Arabidopsis thaliana: one gene and its partners. The protein of the gene in region 3 interacts with the protein of the main gene of each other region in a pairwise test. Each region holds a gene or a part of one and is shown on either strand. Other genes may lie near its edges.

Region 1 (4,322 bases), on a different chromosome or scaffold from region 3:
CTTTCTTAAACTTTTTTCCATTTTTCTTTTTAGTTGTACTTAATCAAACAAACTTAAGCTTCTATGAATTCTGACGTAGGGATCTGCAGGAAAAAGATGCCCTTCCATTACCCAAAGTGGAAGGGGATGATCGTGCACAGGCACGTGCACTTGCTACTCTTCATTCACATCCCGTTGTAAGTTTGTATAGCTACAGCCTCATCTTTCCATGCTGTTTTAATTCGAAGCTAGAGCTAGTTGGTGGTATGAAATCGATACTTTGAACTTGTGAAGCTCCTAGATTACTTGGTTTTAGCTATGAGGATATCTATGTAGTGCTGAACAACTATGTATTGCTGAACAACTGCGATAAGGCTTCATTCCTGTTTGATGAAAGAAACTCTCATTTTGTTTCCTTTCCTTCCTAGTGGATGGTTAGACGATGGGTAAAGTATCTTGGGTTGGATGAAGCCACAAAGCTAATGATATGGAATAACAATGATCCTGGATTTAGCTTAAGGTTTATCTCCATAACATTTTGTATTCACAGAAGGAAAGATAAGTTATTAGCTGTCAGACAGATAATACTATTTCTAATAATATCAGGGCCAATACGGGAAGGGACATTACAAGAGCAGACCTTGTGGAGCGTCTAAACAGTTTAAAGGTTTTTTTCGTTTAATGTTTCTCGTTCTTTATTCAGTTGAAATCATCGTGTTTGTGTAAAACCAGGCACATGATTGTTTCTTATAATGCTTAGTTTCTTACTTCAATTATGGCTTTCCTATGCTGCAGGTTCCACACGAGCTATCCTTACATTTGGAGGAATTTGTCCGCATCAAAACAGGCTTGCAGGTGTTGTAATGTAACCGTGAATTGTCCTCTTGTTGGCAATTTTCTTATCCTAGTTTTTTTACTGATAAGTTTCATAATTGATCATGGGCCTTTTCTTTAACAGACCGTTGTGCAAGCTGGTTTACTCAAAGAAGGCATCTGTTCTGTTCAGGACGAGAGTGCAGGTCAGTTTGGTCTTGTAATTATTTGGACTGCTCCTGAGAAAAGATACAGTCTCCTCTTCATTAATTTTTCATGCTGTTAACAGATTTAAGTTTATCCAAAATCCTTTTGTTCTTTTGATATCTAAATATCTCCCCACATCTGGTACTGCAGGACTAATAGTCTCAGTGGTGAAACCTCAGCCAGGCGAGAGGATAATGGATGCATGTGCTGCTCCTGGAGGAAAGACCCTATTCATGGCATCTTGCTTGAAAGGCCAAGGTAATATTACAAAGACCCCTTATTTTCCTCTATTGTACATTAATGTTGAATTAAATTATCTATTTTGAGAAACTTTTCTACTATACTTGACTGATTCCATCCTCAAACTGGCAAACTCGAATCGATTATAGGTATGATATATGCTATGGATGTGAATGAAGGACGGCTAAGAATTCTTGGTGAGACAGCAAAATCACACCAAGTTGATGGACTTATCACAACCATTCATTCTGATCTTCGTGTCTTTGCTGTAAGTTAACATTATTTGAGTATCTGAAGTTTCCAAGTTTGTAAGCTACTCACATGCTTCCTTCCAACTTAATGTGTTTTAGGAAACCAATGAAGTACAATATGACAAAGTTTTGCTTGATGCCCCGTGTTCTGGACTCGGCGTCCTCTCCAAGGTTAACATGAGAAAAGTTTATCTAACTGTTTCGCCAGCAAGATTTAACATTGCTAGTTGAATTGACCTGATCTGATTAACCTGTTCCCATTAATCTGTATTTTGTAGAGAGCGGATTTGCGCTGGAACCGTAAACTTGAGGACATGTTAGAGCTCACTAAACTGCAGGATGAGCTTCTTGATTCTGCCTCCAAGTATGCACTCTGTACATACATTTTGATGAGTCATTTGATTAATTCTGAAACACTAATATGCGACTTATCTGATACTTTTATCTGTGACACTCTTGATTGAATCTCAAAGACTGGTGAAGCACGGTGGGGTGTTGGTATACAGTACTTGCTCCATAGACCCCGAGGAAAATGAAGGAAGGGTCGAAGCATTTCTCTTAAGACATCCTGTAAGAATCTTTATAATCCATTTGCTTTCCTTCAGATGTTGATATTAACAAATAGTCTCTCTGCTTTCACAGGAATTCACCATAGATCCAGTAACCAGTTTTGTACCGTCGAGTTTTGTAACCTCACAAGGCTTCTTTTTATCAAACCCAGTGAAACACTCACTAGATGGAGCATTTGCAGCTCGTCTGGTTCGAGCCTTGTGACGTTAAAAGCAAGCTGTATTTGTCTCTGCTGAGAGTTTGGATGCAATTAGACGAAGAGGATAAATGAAAACACCTTCTCTTTTATTCGTAGAGTTGGGTTTTATGAGAGAAGTGTAAACTTGTAGAGATGCTGCTAATTGTATGTTGATATGTTTAAAGAAAATGCCTCGCCGTTTTGCCAGAGCTAGAAAGTAGAAACGGCGGCTCGTGTAAGTTCTAACAAAAGAGTAGTCGTCTGTTAGCAACCCAAATCGGGCTTTTAAAGGCCCATATTTTGGTCGGCCTGAATCCAAAGTTAAAAATTCAATCATGCAAAACGGACAACATTATAACTGAATTGAAAATATCTCTCTTATCATTATTTTAGCTTTGTACGATTTACTATTTATGTCAGAAAATGTTTCATTCTTTGACTTTTACGACAACTTTACAAAAAAAAAAATGTTCATACAAGTCACAGAACAAAGTAACATAAAAATCTTAAAAATATATTATCATTTTCGTTAGAAGAAAAACAGTATAATTTTCAAACGCGTTTAAAAACAAAATAACTTGAGATTTTGACGTTATCCTTGTCACAGAGAATCTTTCCTATTTCTTTACGTATAGACACTCAGAGGAAAGACAGAGAGAGAGTTAGCATTGTACTATCTCTCTTTTAGATATATCTCTATCTCTCTTCACTCCATCTTTCTCGTGTTAACACAACAGTCACAGACTCACAGATCTTTGTCGGTGATCGGAGATGGAGTTCCGGGAGAAGCTTTTGAAGTTCAAGTTGCAAATCGTGTTTGCCTTTGTTTTATCTCTCCTCACCGTAGCTCTCGTCGCTTATTCTCCCGGTTTCCTCACCGTTCTATCTTACTTCTGGCCACTTTTTCTCTCCACGGCTCTCTTTCTCGCTGCCGTTTTCTTCTTCGCACGCACCTCCGATCTCCCGGTTTCGTCTACCATCATCCCAGGCGAAGGCGCAGGCTTAAAAGTGGCGGCGGAAGGGATTCTTGACTATGTCGTCGGCGGACAACACGAAGACATTCTCTTTGATAGCTTCACCAAACTTGACTAAGTATGAGACCTCTCTGTTCTTAATTCCTTAAGTATTTCCGTTAATTAGTTGTTCCTTTTTTAATACTAGAGAAAATAAAATTACAAAATGTAATATTTTCACGAGGAATAAAATCTTGCTTAAGTTTATGCTTCTATATTACTTATTTTAATCTTATGTTTCTGTTTAGGCGCGAGGCTTCTTTTCTTTAGGTATCTCTCATTAGTTTATACGTTACAAGATTACACATTGCATTGATATATGATTTTACTTTCAAAAAAAATTTAAATGTTGAACGACCTTAAAATCCGTGCGCTTTACTTTTAAATCTTTCCGAATGAAACCCAACCACCGACGCGACAGCTTTTCATTTGTTTACTAATTAAACGGAACAAAGCAATTTAAATGTTATCAGTGTTGTGTTTTAGTTAGAAATACTATAAATAATACAAGATGCCTCTTTTGTTTTAGAACTTTTTTGGTATCATGAATTCGTTATCGGATAAAATACGTTAAAGCTAAGTAGTATATTCTTAGATTATATATAAATTAGGTGAGCAATCTATCATAGAGAAGAAATGATTAAAATAAGTGTATGGCATAATAGATTCGAACATTTTGGTATGTTCCTCACGTGTCCGAGCATAAAGCTTATGAACAAATCTCGACCACTAGAAGTCTAGAACTAATTCTAATCTAGTTTACCATACACATTAATTATTTCAAATTTAGTGCACATGATTATTTTATATTGGCATCACTAAAATGTCTCCAAGTCTGAATAAATCGATTTATATTGGTTTGATTGTTATCATGAATCTTTTTCACAATCACTTTGCCTAGTTTCGGATCGGGCCTAAAAGCCAACGGCCCAACGTGTTTAAAAACACATGCGTTTTTAAAATGACACGTCAGTTACGTATCGGGCCTAAATGCCAATGGCCCAACGTCATGGAAAGTAGGAACTAAACGACACGCATGTTTAAATTCGAAGGTTTTAACGGCAAGCTTTT
Region 2 (4,912 bases), 1.1 Mb from region 3:
GGTCTGAGAAGCAACGGCATTACGAGCATAGTGTTCGTGCGTACCACATGATGATTGAGTCTACGGCGAAGATAAGGCAGTACAAGCTCATGTGGGATCTTATCAATGCAATGAGGAAGAAGAAGATGCTAAATGTAGAGACTTTTTGTATCGTGATGAGGAAGTATGCGAGGGCGCAGAAAGTGGATGAGGCGATTTACGCGTTTAATGTGATGGAGAAGTATGATTTGCCGCCGAATCTTGTGGCGTTCAACGGGTTGTTGAGTGCGTTGTGTAAATCCAAGAATGTGAGGAAAGCACAGGAAGTTTTCGAAAATATGAGGGATCGCTTTACGCCTGACTCCAAAACGTATAGCATATTGCTTGAGGGATGGGGGAAAGAACCCAACTTGCCCAAGGCAAGAGAGGTCTTCCGGGAAATGATTGATGCGGGTTGTCATCCGGATATAGTGACGTATAGTATAATGGTTGACATACTTTGTAAAGCTGGAAGAGTTGATGAAGCTCTTGGCATTGTGAGGAGCATGGATCCAAGCATTTGCAAGCCGACCACTTTTATCTATAGTGTGCTTGTACATACTTATGGAACTGAGAACCGGCTTGAAGAGGCGGTTGATACTTTCCTCGAGATGGAAAGAAGTGGAATGAAAGCCGATGTAGCAGTTTTCAATTCATTGATCGGTGCATTTTGCAAAGCAAATAGGATGAAGAATGTGTATAGGGTTTTGAAAGAAATGAAGAGTAAAGGTGTGACGCCTAACTCCAAGTCATGTAACATCATTCTACGCCATCTAATAGAACGAGGGGAGAAAGACGAAGCTTTTGATGTCTTTAGGAAGATGATTAAAGTGTGTGAACCAGATGCAGACACTTACACGATGGTGATCAAGATGTTTTGTGAAAAGAAAGAGATGGAGACAGCGGATAAAGTGTGGAAATACATGAGGAAGAAAGGGGTGTTCCCTAGTATGCATACATTCTCGGTTCTTATTAATGGGTTGTGCGAGGAGCGTACCACTCAGAAAGCTTGTGTTTTGTTAGAGGAGATGATCGAGATGGGGATTCGACCATCGGGTGTAACGTTTGGTAGATTAAGACAGCTGCTTATCAAAGAAGAGAGAGAAGATGTGCTCAAGTTCCTTAATGAGAAGATGAACGTTTTGGTCAATGAGCCGTTGTGTGATTGACTTTCTTAGATTTCCTGTGAACCACAGATTAGTACGCTAACAACAGCTGATCCTAAGCATTTGGCTCAGGCTCCATTTACCTTGGTAAAGTTGTAATTTAAATTGGAATCAGCAATTGTTGCGGTTTCGATACATGAGATATTAAAATATAGATGATACAAACCATTTGATGTGTCTGGTTGCGGATGATACGATGTCGAGGCCAAAAGACACAATTCAGTTTCTCCAAGAACATAAGACACAACTAAAATGATTATCTCTATGATTATAAGCTGCAAAGGAAACAGACCTAATACTCACATCAAGCATAAGATGTGGATTTTGAATTTAGGGTTTCTAAGTATCACAATTCATGATGTTGAAAGTGTTTTTGCATCTTCAAGTGCCAAACAAATCTAAGTCCAGAATAATAAGCCGTATCAATTCCATTATCAGGTTCAGTGTCTCTTAGACTTTGACTCGGTTTTGGATAGCATGTATCCAGAGATCTTGTTCACCTCGTACAATAGCCCAGCAGAGAACAGGAAACTGCAGGCAGATCAAGAAACAGCATCACAATCACCACACCGCTTTTAGCAAGAGAGGAATGAAGTAATTAAACAGGGTAAATGGATATACCAAGTAGAACTAGTGAATTTCCACTTACCAGGTTGTGATACAAACCCGATGAACCGTGCCAGCAGCGATAAGAGCTATGATTTCTGCAAGAATGACTGCCATGGAAACAAAAATTGGCTTCAATACATTGCAAACCCTTGTTGAGTAATGAGTATACCCACTTTCACACAGCAGAAGCAGGAGGGGGCAAACAAATTCGAGCCATTTATCACTGTGATTCTTATATAGGTGATACAGAAAAAGACATAAGAATGAAAAAAATTTGGTTCCAACAACTGATTCACTAAAAGAGTATTTGTAACACATAAAAGTAAGAGTTTTCGTAATATGTTATCAGAAAGTAAACTTAGAGCATCATCATCAAAGATTCAAAAATTCCACTCTTAAGCCCTCAAACTTCTGAAGTGGAAGACAAAATGGGGTAGAGTAGACACCCAATGGTTTTGATCGTATGAACAAATTTGATTTCATGAAGAAGCAAGGACATACCTGCACCCCAACCACTCTTGATGCCAGAAGATTCCTGAAAATTTCCAATGAACTGAAAGTAAAAGAAACCGCATCAACCAAACTGTCAACAACAAATGTAGATGAATTCGAGAAGAAAACAAAAGATCTCAAATTTAACGACACAGATCAACATTGGAGTTGTAAAGGTAGTGCATTTCCATGAAGACGAGATCAAGTTGAGGAATTCTAAGGAACTTACAGTGAGAGAAAACAAAAAGAGGAGAGAGCTTGTGAATCCACCAAGGATCGTGAACAGCTCTGAAGAAGCTAATTTTCCTCTGTAAATTTCCTGAAGCGAGAGGATCACTGTAAACACAATAAGAGACCCTAACATTGATGTTCCAACAGCTCCTGCCATGCTTCTAAATCCAAACTAAACAATCAAATTAAGACCGTAACAGATAATCAGACACGAATTCGTACAAAACTGATCGATTGATCCACTGGTCGGAAAACGAGAAATCAACAGATAGAAGAATGTGATGAGTTACCTTGAAAGCCCTAAAGATCAGATCTTCTCCTCACGCTCGTCACTGCCACAGTTCCACTTCGAAGACCGGCAAATCGGAAACAAAGGAGATCGAGAAGAGATTTTAAGAAATGGGAAAATTGGGAATTCGCATTGACCATAAAATACATGTTTATCGTATATATTACATATATACCCTGACGGACCAGTCGCGGTTTCAAACGCTGTCGTTTTATACAAACAACTGACGTAGTATTGTACATGCCACTTGAGTTTGGGTTTAATTAATAAACCAATGCAGAATACCAAACGTAGCATTGTACCGGGTTTGAGGTTTTGCTTGCATTCACTGATTCATAAACCCTAAACCCTACTGTTGCTTGAACTGGAAGTACAACTTACCGTCGAATCAACCGACGATGAGATTACTACTTCCAAATCTCCTTCTACTTCTTCCGGCTACCTTCTCCGTCGAAGGCCATTATCCACCGCCGCATCTCTGCTTACAAAGTTACAAGTACTATCTCAACAGCAGAGTCTAACCCCTCTAATCTTCCATGCCGATTACTCTCAATTGTCTCCGAACCAAATTGGCAGAACAATCCATCTCTAAAATCTCTTACCCCTTCTATACACCTTCTCATGTCTCTTCTCTGTTTTCACTCAATCTTGATCCTCAGACAGCTCTCAGTTTCTCGGATTGGATCTCTCGGATACCAAACTTCAAGCACAACGTTACTTCATACGCGTCTTTGGTTACTCTTCTCTGCAGCCAGGAAATACCTTATGAGGTGCCTAAGATCACGATCTTAATGATAAAGAGCTGCAATTCAGTGCGAGACGCTTTGTTTGTTGTTGATTTCTGTAGGACAATGCGTAAAGGTGATAGCTTCGAGATTAAATATAAACTTACTCCTAAATGCTACAATAATCTGTTGAGTTCATTAGCTAGATTTGGATTAGTCGAAGAAATGAAGAGACTTTATACTGAAATGTTGGAGGATTTGGTTTCTCCAGACATATACACGTTTAACACATTGGTTAATGGGTATTGTAAGCTTGGATATGTAGTAGAAGCAAAGCAGTATGTGACTTGGCTTATTCAAGCTGGATGTGATCCTGATTATTTCACATATACTTCTTTTATTACCGGACATTGTCGAAGAAAAGAAGTCGATGCGGCTTTTAAGGTTTTTAAGGAGATGACTCAGAACGGTTGCCATAGAAATGAGGTTTCTTACACTCAGCTTATATATGGTCTATTTGAAGCAAAGAAGATCGATGAAGCTTTGAGCTTATTGGTGAAAATGAAAGATGACAATTGTTGTCCTAATGTTCGAACATACACAGTGCTTATAGATGCTTTGTGTGGATCAGGACAGAAGTCAGAAGCTATGAATTTGTTTAAGCAGATGTCAGAGAGTGGCATTAAGCCTGATGATTGTATGTATACTGTGCTTATTCAGAGTTTTTGTAGTGGAGATACACTTGATGAAGCAAGTGGATTGCTAGAACATATGTTGGAGAATGGGTTGATGCCAAATGTTATTACATACAATGCATTGATCAAAGGTTTTTGTAAGAAGAATGTGCACAAAGCAATGGGACTGCTTAGTAAGATGCTAGAGCAGAATTTGGTTCCAGACTTGATAACTTATAATACATTGATCGCTGGACAGTGTAGCTCTGGTAATTTAGATAGTGCATATAGATTGCTTAGTTTGATGGAAGAAAGTGGATTGGTTCCAAACCAGCGTACAGTATGAGGAATATCGTTAAGTGAGAAGATTTGTAATGGTCTTCTTAGATGTTACTACAAGCTGCAAAAGTATGAGGAAGCTGCAAAAGTTGTGGAAGATATGATATGTAATGGTCATTCACCACAACTAGAGTTTTGCAAAATGTTGATTTGCAAGCTGTGTGAAGAAGGAGAAAAAGAGAGAGTCAACTCGGTTTTCGAAAAACTGCTTCGATGTGGATATTGCGATGATGAAATCGCTTGGAAAATCCTCATTGATGGTGTGCTTAAACAGGGCTTTGTAGAGGGGTTTTGTGAGTTGTTCCAAGTAATGGAAAAAAGTGGCTGCAAATTTAGCTCTCATACACGATCGATGCTTAGTAAAGGTCT
Region 3 (4,896 bases):
CAACAAACAAAAAAAAGAGAAGCAGAAGAAACAGTAAAGTAGCAAGTACAGGCAAACAAATTTGCTTTGCATTTGTGAGTGTCATATAATTTACCTATACGTGTCCACAATCTCATGAGAGCTGAGCCTATCCTCTCCTTGTGTTCCTCTAGTTCTGTGGTTTGGTTTCCACTGGCGTTCTGCGAATATCAAACTTGTCTACAAACTCCAAAGGAGAGACTGTCTCATTTCTGATCCTCTTAATCTTGGGGCTCAACAATCCCCTATGGCTAAAACCATACAGCTTGAGCACTTGATTGTCTGCAAAATTAAAGGCCCTCTCCATACTCTTCAAGCACCTCTCGACTGCATAATCAGCATAGCTACCACACGGTTTACACCCAACGAAATGGGTCACAAATGGCCATCTCTCATCACCCAATCCCGGGTGATACTTCTCTATCATCTCCTCATACCTATCAACCAAACCTTCCCAAAACCCGTGCAAATAGTATTGATTCTCCACAAACACTTTCTCCATCCATGTATCTTTCTGAGAAAGCAGGAGATAGATCAATGCTGACTGATCATCTGCCTCAAAAGCTGGTCTACCTTTCAGATAAGCCGTCAATACCTTCCCGGCCTCATCACGAATTGGCCCTTTAGGTCCCATAGGCGCCCAAGCATCTAACAAATCCAACGACCACTGACAATTCCTCAGCAGAAAACTACCTGTGTTCAAAGCAATCCACGACTTCTGATCGAACAACAAGTCCGGATAACCATGAATCACTAGATTATGCTTCTGATACCTAGCCAAAGGGATCTGAAACAGTATATCAGTGAACAAAGCATCACTATCCATCCACCAGATCCACTCAACTTCTGGATGAGACAACATCAACCTCCTAATCATTGGTAATTTTGCCCAATAGCCAGCGAGTTCCTTATCCAAATGAGCCATGTTATACACAATCTCAATTCCATGAAGCCTACAATAATCAATCTTGTTCTTCACAGATTTCAAAAGATAATGATCACCAATGGGGTTATCACAAGGCTTAGGAGGAGATCCTGTTAAAAGCAAGATTCGAGCTTTGCCATTGACAGTACTAGGAAACTCAGGATTCTGATTCAACCATACCTTACGTTGACTATCCCAATCCGTGATCTTAGGACCTAGAACATACGTCGCATTGGGATTCATATCACCTTCCTGAGGCTCATCCAAGTCGGTTGGATCCGAATCAGATCGGATCTCAGCTAGAATCCGGTTAGTCTCCTCAATGATGTTCTGGTTAACTGCATCGGCGCTTGAGCTTCCTAGGTTACCAACACCGATAGTGCCACGTAAGACGAGAATTGTGACGAAACCACAGAGAATTGTGATCTTGATGTTGTTAAACGTCTTCTGCATCTGTCTACCTCGAGGTAACAAACCACCACGACCACCTCTTCCTCCACCGTTGGTTAACGTCGTCGTCGGAAGTCCTCCGCCGCTTCCGGATGGTCTTTTATGCGCCGGCGAACCATCTTGACCCATTTTCTTCTTCAACGTCTCTCTCTATAGATTTCACTTACAGGTTTGCGACCATCAACTTTGTTTTCCTCAGATCAGTCTGAGTATGTTTCTGTCTCTCCGTACTTACTTATTCACGGATCTGAGAAAAAGTTCAGATCTTTAGCATGATTCCGATCGGGGAAAGAGAAAGAGAAAGATTTGTCGATCTGAAGAACCCTAATTTAAAAATGGAATTAAACCCAATAATGCGGAAACATTGTCATTACTTAAAAATATATTGTCGGAGGAAAATGCTTCGTTCGATCCAGAAAGCGCACAAGGAGAAGAAGAAACGCGTACAGCTCACTCTCACCGACAACTACTATTTTACTTTAACCGATTTCGGTAATAGAAAATTACGGAACTAAACCGGTAGTTTAATTTTGGCGGTATAGTGAAACGATGCGTTTTGGTAGTTAAACCTGAAAACAGAAACGGATAAGGTGAGGAAATCGGTGGGGGCGGCGGAAACATTGAAAGGCGTTTCAGAGTCACCATGTTTTACGACGCGTGTCTCTTTTTCAGCCGGTTTTCTTCTCGCTGGTTACATCAGAGCTTCGGAGATATTATATAACTCAACGACGTAGCTGTTGCATTTTTTGTTTTTGCAATGATCTTCATCTTCATGACCGGATAAACTCTTGTAAGTGTATTTCGTTTTCTGTAATTCTGTTAATGATTTCTTGGGTTTCATCAAGTTCGTTACTTTTTGTATGTTCTCGGTCCAATCTTTGGGGGTTGGATTGTAAATCTCATATCTGATTATGTAGTGTATGTGTGTGTGATTTTCTTGTTGCAGAGAGAAAGATTCAAAGTGATTATCTTTGTGGATCCCTCCATTGCTATGTGGAATTTAGCTTCAAAATCGATCAGAGAAGGTTTTATATCGAAGGGAGAAGAAGCTGCTACAAAACCAAGAAGAGCTACTTTAGATAGATCAGGAGATGGAAGAAAGACAACAAAGGAAGAAAAATTGGAGTGTCCCATTTGCTGGGAATCATTCAACGTTGTTGAGAATGTACCTTATGTCTTATGGTGTGGTCATACAATCTGCAAGTACTGTCTCTTAGGGCTTCAACGTGCCATTGTCATCAAATCCTCTGCTTTACCATTCCAGCTTCCCTTCTTCGTTGCTTGCCCTTGGTGCAATATTCTCTCTTTAAGGCTGGTTTGCAATGGAACCATCAGATTTCCTTCCAAGAACTTTTACCTTCTGTGGATGGTAGAAAGCATGAATGGCTCCAGATCGGAGGCACCCAGCGACAACAAAAGGGTTGCTTCAGGGCAGAGAGACTTGAGAAATAGGTGTGATGGAGTGAGTAATACCGCCTTGGGTGATGAAGGGTTGCTGGACAATCGCAGCTGGTGGAATGGTGTGACCAGAGGATTCTTCAGAACTGGGAGGCTCCATGACTCGGTACGTAAGTCAATGGCTCTTGTTGCTCATTTGTTGGCTAAGTTTCCTCTGGTAGTCATATTCCTGTTGATGGCTTTATATGCAATCCCTGTGAGTGCTGCAGTTCTCGGGGTTTATTTCTTTGTTACGTTTGCTTTGGCTGTCCCGTCGTTTCTCGTCCTTTATTTTGCCTTCCCGAGCTTAAACTGGCTGATCAGAGAGATTGCAACCTGACTCATTGTACTGTTTCTTTCTTCCTGTATGTTTCCTGACTTGTAAGAAACACGAGATAGAGCCAACGTTGTTTACACTCAATATAGACAAGAAGAAGAGAAGATCTTTATTTTCAGATTGTGTCTCTGTACATTGCGAACAAAACTACCTTTCTCTATCCCTATCTGTCTGATAACAATGAGGTTCTGTGTACAAGAAGAATCAGAAACAATGAAACGAAAAATGGTGAAGAAGAAAACTCTGTTGTTCTGTATAATAAATCTGAAAGAAGAAAAGAAAGAAAGATTTTTACATTTCTATGTAACCTTGTGAAGATAAGCCATTGAAGAGCTCTGCTTTACCGGATATCTTAACCAACATAGCTAGAACTTCTTTCATGTTTGGTCTTGCCTGAGGATGATCAGCTGTACACTTCACACCAATCTTTAGTAGCTCAGTCATTTGCTCAGCTCCGTTCCCTGGTTTGGTCCCTGACAGGGTTATTGGTGAACCTTTGGCTGTCATGTTACCTGTCATTACACGTCTTGCCCATTCGACCAAACACTCTTCTCCTCCATCAACAGCTCTTCTACCCGTCGCGAGTTCCATGGTCAATACTCCGTAGCTGTAAACATCTCCTCTTGTGGTGGCTTGCCAAGTTTGTCCATACTCGGGAGCTACATACCCGATTGTGCCTGCAATCACTGTGCTCACATGGCTATCTCCTACATTTAAGAGTCTTGCTAGTCCAAAATCCGTCACTCTCGCATTCCCGTGTTTATCCAAAAGAACGTTACTGGCTTTGACGTCTCTGTGAACGATGGAAGGGTAGCATTCGTGGTGTAAAAACACTAATCCCCTTGCTACATCTGTGGCTATATCAATACGTTTCTTCCATTGAAGTTTTGTTTTGTCTGTGATGAGCTCCTCTAAGCTCCCGCCTCCCATGTATTCGTGCACCAAGATTTTCTCTGACCCATCTAGGCACCATCCATATAGCCTCACGAGGTTCGGATGTGCCCAATCTCCAAATGCGTTGGCACTTAGAACTTCCATTTCAGCTCTGAACTCTTTCTCTGCTTCTGTGCCTTCCCTCTGAAGCTTCTTGACTGCAACTTCTCTTCCATCAGGCAATACGCCTCTGTAAACAGTTCCATAGCCTCCCCTACCTACCACTCTCTCCTCAGAGAAGTTACTGGTTGCTTTCAGAATGTCAGCGTATGTGAAAGTTGATTTGTCTAAGCGAATGACCTTGATTTTTCCTGATAGCCATGGCGATGATCCACCTGAACTGGAAGTCATGTCATGTCTGGTTTTCGACCCATCTAAGAGATCGATTTCTGCTTCCCTTGAAGCCTTAACAACCATAAGTACAATACCTGATACCACTAAACATGCAATAAACGCCAATGCAAGAGCCAAGGAAATCCAAATCAAAAGAAGAGTTCTTGGCCTGTTTCCTAGGACTTGGTTGGAAATCTTCCTCGTGTTGTTCCCTGATTGGTTGAAGAAACTAGGAAACCGCAGCAGCGGATTTCCAAGAAAGGAGTCTTTGTCAAAGGTTGCTACTTGTCCTGTTGTTGGTATCGCGCCAGAAATGAAAGGGTTATATGAGATGTTGAACTTACTCAGCTCATTCAAGTCATTCAAACTCGTTGGAAAGTTTCCAGAGAAATTGTTGAAAGACAGATCAAGATTCTGCAGGCACTTCAGATTTCCGATTTCTTGAGGAATCTCGCCCGAGAAA
Region 4 (4,860 bases), on a different chromosome or scaffold from region 3:
GATCCTGAGTTGTATAGGCACCTTATATTTCTGAAGGTGAGTTTTGCTGAACATTCTATTTAATTGTTGCTTTGTAGAACGGGGAGATAGTTGCTAGCATAGATGTGCGAGAATGCTGAAATCTGTTTGTTTGTTTTTGTTTCGAAACTGAAATTTGTTTGTTTACCTACCTACGATAATTTTGGCTCTTTTTTTTTTTTTTTTTTTTGCTTCTTAGCTTTATACACCTTTTTATGTATTCATTATGATATTTGCAGCGTTATAAGGGTGATATCTCAGACTTGGAGCTTTACTTTGTTATTTTGAATAATGAATATGGAGAGAGGACAGAGGAAGAGCTACTTCCAGGGGGCCAAGACATGCGAGTTACAAATGAGAATGTTATAACTTTCATTCATCTGGTTTCCAATCATCGGTTAAATTTTCAGGTACTGGGGAACCACTTACCTCTCATTTATCTTGGCATACCTGAGGTCACCCTGTAAATCAACAGCTATTGATATCATCTCATTTGCAGATACGCCAGCAGAGTTCTCATTTCTTGAGGGGGTTTCAGCAACTCATTCCGAAAGAATGGATCGACATGTTCAATGAACATGAGCTTCAGGTGCCAATTAAGTGTATAATTATACTTGCTTTGTTAGTTGTTCCCTCGAGGAGCATGAAGAGAGAAATTTTACCTTTGTGGGCTTTGGTTGCAGGTTCTCATATCTGGTTCAGTTGATAGTTTGGATATAGACGACTTGCGAAACAACACTAATTATGCTGGAGGCTACCACGCGGTGAGTGGTTCTTCACTGTTAGCCGAAATGCCATTGTGAATTAGTGTAGGGACACTTTTGGAGTATTGTTATATATGATTATATCGCTATGTTGTTGACACTTGACAGGGACATTATGTGATCGATATGTTCTGGGAAGTTATGAAAAGCTTCTCAACTGAAAACCAGAAGAAGTTCTTAAAGTAAGCAAACTTTGCAGTTACTACTACAGTCTGTGTACGCAATGATTTACCGGAGTCTATGAATTTTCTAAGGGAACTAAGAGGTACCTCTATTTTTCAATTTCAGGTTTGTGACAGGCTGCTCACGAGGACCACTGCTGGGTTTCAAATACTTGGAACCTGCATTCTGCATACAGAGGTAATATACACAGACTCACAATCGTTTTGACTTTTGATGGGCCCTGGACAATAGAATCATAAAATATCCATCCTCGATGGAATGTGTATCAGGGCTGCCGGTAGTGCGAGTAATGAATCAGTTGATAGACTACCGACATCAGCCACTTGTATGAATCTTCTTAAGCTTCCGCCCTATCAAAGGTTTGTCCTCTCATAACACAAACTCTTTGGTTTTGCTTAGCTAAGAGACTTGTTTTGTTGCCAAATAGCTTCTCTTGGTGTTGTAATTGGAAAAAGCAAATAAAGCATGTCTTGTTGTTAATGATGCAGCAAAGAGCTACTTGAGACCAAATTGATGTACGCCATAAGCGCAGAAGCGGGTTTTGATCTGAGCTGATGGAATAGCTTCCTGCCTTAAACACAGACTTCAATGGCCCCAAATTGACACCCTTTTTTCTAGCATTCCTCGTTATGGTATAAACCGGGTAACCTGTAGACTGAGGCAGGCTTGTTGGCTCTAAGCATCTAAGAGACGGATCTAGAAGGAGAACATGTAGTAGAGATTACTTGACTAATGGGTTTCATTTGCAGCTCTCGGGTATTCGCTTTCAAAAAGTGTGACAAAAAAAAAAAAGTGATTACAGGGAAGTCTTTATTTGGAAGCTCCTGAGAGTTAGTCTTGGGTTAAAAATTCAATAAAAGAAATGGTAAATAAGACTGGTCTCAAGAGGAACTTAAATGCTGTAAATTATTTTGCTTAATTAATGCATGTTACACAGAACATAGATGATTATTTTGATACTTATTTGCATCATACCATATATCTTCTATAAAAAGATGCATTTTAGTGACTTAGTGGTAAGAATATCCTTTTTTTTTTTTTTTTGTCATATGATAATTATTAAAACAGAAACAAAATGACAGAAAAATAACGAGAAATACAAAATGAAATTTAAACTTTACTTTCCTTAGACACTTGATTGTGAAGTCATGAAGGCTCTCCAAGTGCTAAGTAAAACTTAGACTGAAACCTTCTGTCTTGAATCACACTCCCAAGAAATGGAACGCGCGATCAGATTTGCGTTTGTGGCAATATGACGGAATGTACAAGATTCAAATGCACTAACAATCTCATGGATTTGTGTTAACCAATTTCTATAGAAAGGCTATTTGGACGGCTGCAAAACGGCGTTAAGTGCGGCTGGACAGTCCAACTCTATTATCACCGTGGTAAGAATATCTCTATATACATTTTTTGTCGCACTTATCATGATTAATCAAGTAAACATAATTGTTACAAACACTTTATAAATTAAAAAAGCTTCAATTCAATTTGCACAGAAAAGAAAAAAAAAAGAAGAAGATTCAATACAGAGTATACCAGGAGCATCTGGTAATGTTTATATCTGAGGACGTTTTATTTAATTTTTTGGAACGAAAACAATAATCCGACGATCGTATTTGCACGTCGCAAATCCGCTCTTTTAATCAAAGATCTCGACCGTCCATTTTTAGTTAAGACTTTAGAGAGCTGATAAGTGGAATAGTGGAGATTTGCATTCGCAGGGGATAAGGATCAAAAATGGAGGAAGCAAAGGGACCTGTGAAGCACGTATTGCTTGCTAGTTTCAAAGATGGGGTTAGTCCTGAGAAAATCGAAGAGCTCATCAAAGGTTACGCCAATCTCGTCAATCTCATCGAACCTATGAAAGCTTTCCACTGGTTAGTAAATTTGGATTCTGAATTGCTTCCTAGTGTTAGACATATGCTCGAGATCCGAAAAACACTTCCATCAACTCAATATGATTATGTAAAACTAAGCAATTTGGGGAAATTCATGACCTTCCTAGTGTTGATCTAATTTCCCTCAGAGAGAATCCATCTCCATTGATGATCTTTTGAAAAGTTAAATCAACTAAATCGACGAATCTGCTCTTGTCTTATTGAATTATTGGATCTGTATAATTTTAGGGGAAAAGATGTGAGCATTGAGAATCTGCATCAAGGTTACACACACATCTTTGAATCCACATTTGAGAGTAAAGAAGCTGTTGCAGAGTACATTGCTCATCCTGCTCACGTTGAATTCGCCACCATCTTCCTTGGCAGCTTGGATAAAGTTTTGGTTATTGACTACAAGCCTACCTCTGTCTCTCTCTAATTATCTTGTAGCAGCATTTTCATCATTGATCTTTTTCTCGGGTATGCATCTTGTATGTTGAATAAAGTATATTCCTTTTGAGTTTTCCTGCATTGTTCTCATGTTTCTCTGTGAATTTCTCTCTTTTTTGTTTGTTTGTTTGTTTCCTTCTGTTGTATTATACTTGATCTGTAAAAAGATCATGAGTTTATTAAGAGTGTTTGATTTCAGACTCCTCTTTGTTATAAGTCTATTACTAGTTGTTGTCTCTTAGTTTCTTTTATCAATAGAGTTGAGTTATATGGAATAACAAGTTGAAAAGAAACCAGGTTCTTGTTGATGTGTGGGTTGGAGAAAAAAAGTTCTTTGATTATATATGTAACATTTATGCATTACTGTTTAATGTAATCGTCTAATGAGTATGATGAAGGGAGATTGAATCAATCCCACTCTCACATCATGTTTGAGATGACAAGTACAATGCCACAAATATTCTGAAAATCACCACTGTTCTTCACAGCTGAAGGATCAACTTTGAAATCCGCCATGTCTTGTTCACATGTTGAAGGTCCTTCCATAGCTGCTGAAACCTTAATGTTCAACCCTTTGCCATCGCCTGACGCCAGGCTCTGCTTAGCATCATTGAGACTGCTTATTGCACTCTTATAATGTTGTACACATGAGGTGTATGCTTTCTTCATAGTGGGGTTGGTTGCTGTCTTGACTAGAGATTGAATTTTCCTGAAACCTTCTGATGCACTTGTTTGTGCAGAACCAAATGTGATATTTGCAAGCGTTTGAAGATCAGCACCTGAGGTCTTTGGGTTGGATTTCATGTAGCTCGTACAGAAGGATTGGTTTTTCGCTTTTCCACATATCGCTTTTATGTCTGCCACTTGTGCGTTCAAAGAACCAGTCATTACAAAAAACATCAGAGAAGACATTAAAACTCTGTTCGTCAGGTATGCTGCCATCTTTGCTTCTTTCTTTCTTATGTTCGTTGGTAGATGATGGTTAAGTTATTCCCTTACTATGCCTGACTATTCATATTTATAGATGCATGCGATTGATTGCTTCCACTAGAACTAATAATAGAAATGGGTTGTTACTCTTTCTGATTCTTAGTTAGACCACAAGTCCTTATGTAAGAGAGAGAGAAAACTTTGCTATTCTTAGCATTAGTGCAGAGACAGTTATCTGATTAGTATTCGTCTAACTTACTTTCCTGACTTCTCTTCTTTAGGTAGATATGCATTCACTAATATGTGTTCATGATTTGTTGGTGCTAAGAAAGATTACTGTAGGAAGAGGTTCTATGGAGATAATTGTCATAAATATACACCAGAAGTAACGAGAGATTAAAGTCTTAGCTGAGATGCAAGACACGGTAATTTTGACTATGAATATATTCATTTATTGGTCTTTAAGTTACTAGTACATCAGCGTGAATGACATTTAGTAGTTTCTGCCTTCTTGCAGGTGAAAGATACATAAAGAATCAAGAAGTCAAAACGTCGGAGAAAACCCTATCAATATTACACATTCTCTTAAAAAACAAATTGAGTTTTGCTACATAAGCCGGCACATTTCCTGCAAA

Evidence for each region.
Region 1: the proteins of AT1G74370 (region 3) and AT3G13175 interact in a protein complementation assay, tested with the Arabidopsis thaliana proteins (one large-scale study listed by BioGRID).
Region 2: the proteins of AT1G74370 (region 3) and AT1G77350 interact in a protein complementation assay, tested with the Arabidopsis thaliana proteins (one large-scale study listed by BioGRID).
Region 4: the proteins of AT1G74370 (region 3) and HS1 interact in a protein complementation assay, tested with the Arabidopsis thaliana proteins (one large-scale study listed by BioGRID).

Annotation. Positions count from the first base shown.
Region 1 is NC_003074.8:4,234,268-4,238,589, reverse strand, and holds AT3G13175 (uncharacterized protein), read left to right. Parts: upstream 1-2,775; 5' UTR 2,776-3,009; coding exon 3,010-3,330; 3' UTR 3,331-3,515; downstream 3,516-4,322. Other genes in the region: AT3G13180 (NOL1/NOP2/sun family protein / antitermination NusB domain-containing protein), read left to right, coding at 90-176, 408-499, 586-646, 775-834, 938-998, 1,150-1,257, 1,389-1,507, 1,590-1,661 and 3 more.
Region 2 is NC_003070.9:29,068,258-29,073,169, reverse strand, and holds AT1G77350 (keratinocyte-associated-like protein), read right to left. Parts: upstream 2,946-4,912; 5' UTR 2,807-2,945; intron 2,689-2,806; 5' UTR 2,674-2,688; coding exon 2,515-2,673; intron 2,347-2,514; coding exon 2,295-2,346; intron 1,901-2,294; coding exon 1,834-1,900; intron 1,716-1,833; coding exon 1,625-1,715; 3' UTR 1,271-1,624; downstream 1-1,270. Other genes in the region: APPR6 (Tetratricopeptide repeat (TPR)-like superfamily protein), read left to right, coding at 1-1,187; AT1G77340 (Pentatricopeptide repeat (PPR) superfamily protein), read left to right, coding at 3,342-4,550.
Region 3 is NC_003070.9:27,956,474-27,961,369, reverse strand, and holds AT1G74370 (RING/U-box superfamily protein), read left to right. Parts: upstream 1-1,969; 5' UTR 1,970-2,183; intron 2,184-2,339; 5' UTR 2,340-2,384; coding exon 2,385-3,170; 3' UTR 3,171-3,284; downstream 3,285-4,896. Other genes in the region: AT1G74385 (uncharacterized protein), read left to right, coding at 400-645; XXT5 (xyloglucan xylosyltransferase 5), read right to left, coding at 149-1,522; AT1G74360 (Leucine-rich repeat protein kinase family protein), read right to left, coding at 3,459-4,896.
Region 4 is NC_003074.8:5,879,613-5,884,472, forward strand, and holds HS1 (heat stable protein 1), read left to right. Parts: upstream 1-2,306; 5' UTR 2,307-2,353; intron 2,354-2,452; exon of another isoform or gene 2,453-2,464; 5' UTR 2,465-2,705; coding exon 2,706-2,845; intron 2,846-3,094; coding exon 3,095-3,284; 3' UTR 3,285-3,588; downstream 3,589-4,860. Other genes in the region: UPL6 (ubiquitin protein ligase 6), read left to right, coding at 1-36, 258-428, 518-607, 702-782, 891-964, 1,071-1,142, 1,235-1,324, 1,454-1,520; PMEI2 (pectin methylesterase inhibitor 2), read right to left, coding at 3,716-4,237; AT3G17225 (Plant invertase/pectin methylesterase inhibitor superfamily protein), read right to left, coding at 4,762-4,860.